Linked DNA regions of Drosophila melanogaster. The protein of the gene in region 1 interacts with the protein of each later gene in a pairwise test. Each region holds a gene or a part of one and is shown on either strand. Other genes may lie near its edges.

Region 1 (3,484 bases):
TAGGGACCCTCTTAATGACCGTAAGGATAGCCAAAGGAACGAAACGACCGTTACAAGAAACTCGAGTCCTCGGAGCCGTTACAAAATTATGAAAGTAACCTTCGGGGGCAAGGGAAAAGGGCCCATAACAATTAGGAAGGCGACTCATAAACGAAGTGCCGACGAAATTCCACTAAAATGCGTAAACCGAGCCAAAAACCAAAACTCTGAAGATCCCTATCTGTACGTGCTTCTCCCGCGTCGAAAATTTTTCACGCATCAACAGAGCAGGTCCCTCGAACCGGGAAAGAACAACAATGACAAACAAATGCGATCGGAAGGAGCTGAAAAGGACCTGCCGAGATTTCCCGAAATGCGGCATTAATGCATATTGACTAACCTTGAGAGTCCGATCCCATCCCATTCCATCGCAATGCCAAGTACCCGAAAAATACGTTACTTTGCTCAACTACCTACAGGTTGGGAAAATAGGAAAAGGACGATCGGACGGAAGGACTTAGGGGCACTTTCTGGGCTGTCTCAATGAAATAACGGACAAGTCCCTTGTCCGTTTGGGTATTTCCAGCGGCGAGATTGTATCTCCGAGATATGCCAATCCATTGTTTGTCCATATCCTCCGTCTTTTTTCGGATAGTGTGTCGAATTTTAAAATCTCTCTTCCCTCACACTCTGTTATGGAATTTTTTCAACAAGTTTCGACTTGTCCGCTCGGTACTCTCCTGGAATTTTACGTTTGGGATTTAGGGACTTCTACTTTTCTTGCGACAGAGTCGAGCAGGTAAAGAGAGGTTGTGAGGCATGGTACTCTCAGAGGGGGCGAAAGATCGAGAACCGACCGAGATCTATGCGACTGTCAAAAAATCCGTTAAAAACCTGCAGTGAATGAGCAACTCGAGTGGGTAATACCCAGCATTTGAATCACGTGGGAAACATATGAAATTTTAAAGTAAATGACTTAGTATGGTATGCTATGTTCCAAAAAATAAATACCATTAGTAAAATACTAAATAATTGTTAAATATACAACGATCTCTTTGTATTTATTGTAATTTTACCGATGTACTTCCTACATACCTTAATTTAGCAGTGTGCTGTTAAGGAAAACTTTTTTTGTAAGGCTGTGCCGATCTTAATTATTTAATTTTAAATAGTTTTTAATTTAGTTGTATACCAAATATTTTAGGATACATTTTATTCTTGCTAGTCTTTTAAGTTTAATTTTAATAGAGTCCTTAAATATTGATATTTTTCATCAAGTTTATGATCTTATTACTATAGTTATTATAAATTCAATGAATTCAATTCAATTAAATTCAACCTTATATGGCCCCTTTCAATATTACTATTATAAATAATTTTTTTTAGAAAAAATACACTTAAAAGATATACACACAATAAAAACATATTAACCTTATTTTTCGTAAAATCTATTTTTTATGCACAGACTCAAAAATTCATCATACCCTGCTTTCTCAAGGGTAAGGACATGCTCCTGATTCCGAGACCGCTTTCTCTTGGCTCTCTTTTGTCTCCCGCTCTCACTGTTTGTGCAACCACCTGCAGGCAGTCTGCCTTCCCATTGGCTGGGTCCATCGATCGAGAGAACCGCCGCTCTGTGCGAGAATTCTCCCCCGCCGAGAGAAACCAAAGAGAGCAAATCGTATATAAGGAGTCGGTCGTGCAGCAGGAAAACCAGAATACTACCAACTCTCAACCGAGTGCAACCAACTAAGATCCCAAGTTTTATTATAAATCTCAACAATCCTCAACACAATGTCGTTCATCACACGGGAATACAAGTTTGAGAGCAGCAAGGTGATGGAGCCGAAATCAGATCAGCACACGATGGCCATGCGGAGTCTGAGGAAACTGGTCAAACCCCTTCTGCGACTGGTGAAGAAGAAGCAGCTACTCCGGAAGACTCTGGCCGAGATCCAGAACCAAAATGCAGTCAACGCCTCGCTGGAGGACATGCGCAAAGATCCGGCGGCCAGTTGCGATAACATGGCCAACGAGGAGCTGGAGCAGCGACTGTACACCGATCTCCGCCAGTGCCCCACCAACGTGGCCATGATCGTGCAGCAGGGTCAGCAACAGAGCATCGTGCCCGTCCATCCGGAGCAGACCTTCATCCCGGTCCACTTCGCCCGCACCACCAGCGGCACCTTCTTCTGGACCTCAGCCGAGGGAGCTCGCCAGCACCACGAACAGCAGTTGCGCCAGCAGTTCGACCGTTGGGTTCAGGCCTAAACATCGCCAGGATGCACAGTTCCACTTCTCGATGCACCGGGAAAAACTCCAATTGGCAGCTTTAAGTGCAAGTGTCTCCGTCCATTGGTCGTCGGATGGATGCGGGTTCAGCTTCGCATGTTCGTAATCTCAGGGTGATATTAGGCATAGATTGGATTCTTTGGGCTCGCGTCCCAAGGGAAACACAACTCTAATTGATATTCAATTATCACAATCAAGCGTTACTATCGTTAACTCATTGTGATTTATCGTGTCTTATTAGCCTTAAGTTAGTCTTAGCCGAATCATTGTCTTCCATGTTTGTTTGTTAGGGTCTTCGTATAAGAATTAGGCTAAGAATCATTGTCTTCCATGTAAAACTTTAGCTATAAACACTAATATCATATAAGAAATAAATAAATCGAAAAAAGGAAATTCTAATGTCTCTTTATTCTGAAAACTGATATGAAATAATATGAATAAGGTTGGAAAAGAAAAATCCCAAATTGAATGACCATTGTAAGTATAGTTAAATTCGGCTACTCTGTACAATTCTGATTTGAAGAATGGATTTTAAATTGGACTCGCTATGCTGGTGAACACATTCCAATTAGTGACTGCATTCATTCCTGCTTGGAGACCATTTGAATCCAAAAATGCTGCTGGTAGGCAGTTGGAAATACTTCCGTAAGAACAATAAAGAATTTTATTTACATTTATATTTAGCCTGACCACAGGCTAATATAATATTCACCAAATATTATTTTTTGTCTTTCATACAATTTCTGCATCTGTTATCGTTAAAATATGATTTTTGTTTCAAATATACCTAATATATACCTTTGTAGTATATATGTATTTATTTATTTATTCTATTTATATTTCGAAAATATTGGTATAGTAAATATCATATCTTTTCATATCATATTATGGTTCACACGCTTCACACGCACCCCAACCACCTAGCGCGAGGTCTAATCCAGCTCAGCAGCCGTTCCCGTCTCCGGCGAAAGGACCTACCAACCCAGCGAATAAATTATTAGGGCCGTTTAAACATAGAACAGTTGGAAAAATAATACAACTGTTCAAAAAATACTTGTTATAGTTAAGATTTTTAAACTTATTGTTAGTTCTTATACAAGAAGATTCAATAAATAAAAGCAAAGTAAAATAAAAAAAAAATATTATGGTTAAAAAAAATTACTGTTTGTATCTACAAATATTAAAATACTACAAAGAATTCTTCAAGAACTAA
Region 2 (2,937 bases), on another chromosome or scaffold:
GGATGTTGGTGGGGCTAGTTGGTAAAATAGCAACAAAGTTCGCAATCGCGCCGTCGAAACGAGCGTCACGGCCAATGGTGAAACGTTGAACGAGACAAAACTTGGCCAACACACACACTCACATACACACTGGGCAAAAATGGCAAGCAAACTATTAAATGAGGGTGTGAGTGTCGGGGAAGGGGGATTTTCATGGGTCGCACTGCAGTTTGGCATTTTTGTTGACCGGCCAGGACATAAACATGGATCCTGTGTCTGGGCTGCAACTTCTGTGCCGTAGCTGTCTCTCTGTCCCACTCATTGTCCGGTTGTTAGGCCTTTAAATGTCCTGACAGGAATGTTGATGGCAAACTCGGTTATCGATATGTGAACAACGTTGAGGCTATAAATAAATAATGGGCCAGTGTGAAGGACTAAAATGATGTTGGGTTATTCGAGAGGCCACATAAGAATGGCTGACAATTCGAAATAACTTCTAGTAATGGTGAAGCTGTGTCAAAGGATTCTGTATAGACTGTAGACAATTGTATTCCTGTAAAAGAACCAAACTTTGTTTATAACTTTTTGTTTTAAAAATTTGTATATTAAAGCGACGCTTTATGAATAGCAGAAGAGTATCCAATATATATATAATATATAAACAATTTACAAGAATTTTACTTTGCCTTCAACTGGCAAAAAAGGCCAGATATAAAGTTCGTACACGATGTTAGAATATCGGGCACAGCCATGAGACCATCTTTCATTTCCGAAAGAGTGACGAAACGGTATGCCATCAAAAGTGCCACAATAACCAATGTTGGTATGGCCAGAGATACCAGGATGCGAGCCACAACGACAATGGCAAAGCTGATCACTATCAGGGTCAGAAGAACGGCCAAGATGCGTCCCATTTCACCGGGCTTCACTTCACTTTTAGTCCACGCATCCAAACGGTCAAACACGTTTTCACCGAAATCCATTTCTTCGTGTGTGTTGATTTTATCTTGACGTCTAACTTTGAATTTTTTTCGAACTAGAATGAACTTTTCTTTGAAGGCTTTCTGAAAACTGGTGGGACCTAATATATTTCCACAATATTCAAATTTTCAATTGAAAGTATAGTATTTAATGGGTTGGATTTGTTTAAGACTTGAGTTCGAATGAACAAATATAAATGGTTGTCTTCTGTCCGCAAAAACTTAATCATTGGGAAGATATTTGGTAGGGGTGACGTTGGAGGTACAACCACGAACTTATAGCCACATCGGCAGCTGTGAAATCTAAATGGCATTCTTGATGTCAGCGACAGGATATCTCGCCGACTGCCGAACCGTGTCCTGACAACTTGACAAATGAATGATCGGGCCGCAGTCTCGGCACCGCAGAGCGGCCAACCTCAGACAGCAGGCAACAGACGCAGGACAATGGACACAGGACGATGGACACGGGGGCATATGGCGGTCCTGACGCGACGACAAACCGCAAAAAGCGAAACGGCAATCGACCAACAACAGCAACAATAAAGGGCAAAAATGAACCCGACAATTTCGCCGCCACCAGCAACCGCCATTCCAACAATCATGAAAGCACCGAGCACCAAGCACCGAGCACCGATTACCGATCGGCAGGACCGGGAGGTCCTGCAAGTCCTTTGCCGCCTGCCATCGCCGGTCAGTTGGTGTCTGTGCATGAATTCCATCATATGATATCAATTAGTGATAGTGCGGTGCGACTGAAATGTCATTTGCAAAAATGCGCATATTTTAAACGTGACACACGCCGGCGCTCCTTTGGCCCCCCACATCATCCACCCAACCATCAAGCCATCCCATCCATCCAACCAACCATCATCCCATCCAGACACGCCATGATATCTCGCTAACGGAGCGAGAGTTATACGAATGCCCTTTTCAACGCAGGAAGGATTGATTTTGCCAGGTGTTTCTGCATTTTGTTAACTTGTTTCCACTTTAAAAACTTATTCTTATACTATTAAGCATTTAGCATAATTATTTTAAAATTTATATTAATTAAAGAGAATGGATTGAGTTAGGCAACACAACTCATTAAAATAGATTCATAGATTGCATCTTCTGTGAAATAAAACATAATCACTCAATTTATAATTTGATGTTTTTACCTGGTGATGAAGAGCATTAACTAATCGGTTAGCTTGTCCCACCCTAATTGACCGGCTTGAATTCCCTTTTTTGTTCCGCTCGCTGAGACCATAAAAACCAAACAGAAAATGTCCAAACGGACCAAACCTGCTGCCTGGTCAGCCACATAAAAATCAGCTCGCCCGCATCAACTGCATGCCAACAACAATGGGGCGTATGAATATGCAACGAACGCCGCCGATGATGACCACGATGGGGCAAAGGGGAATGGAAAATGCGCCGGGTGGGGGAGGAGGATTCAGTCCAGTCAGACCTGCAACGGATATCCATGCAGGTGCAATCTCAAACAGAACTTACCACAGAAACACACGGGGGATCCGCGGGGGCTTGGTTTCGGGAATTGGGCGAGAAGACATGTCAACGTAACCAGAATACGGATGGCGGAGGCCAATAAAACTGCAGCCAAGTGCAGCTGATGCAACGATTTGGTGGCACACACCATCAGCGCCACCCGCGCCAAACGCAAATTGCATTTTCAGTTTTTTATCTCAGCTGAGACCTTTCAGGGAAATTTAATTTGCTTTTTCGCCGCCGGCCAACAATATGCGGTACGTGAAAATGCCGTCGAGTGCATTGATTGTTGGCTTATTGACACTGCCAATGCGAAATTAATGCCAGCACAAATGCGCAAACTTGCCAAATTGTGCGTTGCCTTTTGTCGTTTATGCGGTTGATAAGATAAGTCACTCTCTCACAATGAATTTAATCTCATACAGTTTGTTTTCAGATTTAAATAACTGCTCACTTTAAGTAAATTAGCTCAGGCGTTATGTTG

Evidence for each region.
Region 2: the proteins of Tom (region 1) and CG12784 interact in a two-hybrid assay, tested with the Drosophila melanogaster proteins (one large-scale study listed by BioGRID).

Annotation. Positions count from the first base shown.
Region 1 is NT_037436.4:14,967,654-14,971,137, forward strand, and holds Tom (twin of m4), read left to right. Parts: upstream 1-1,690; 5' UTR 1,691-1,773; coding exon 1,774-2,250; 3' UTR 2,251-2,653; downstream 2,654-3,484.
Region 2 is NT_033777.3:15,761,194-15,764,130, reverse strand, and holds CG12784 (uncharacterized protein), read right to left. Parts: upstream 1,017-2,937; 5' UTR 963-1,016; coding exon 657-962; 3' UTR 580-656; downstream 1-579.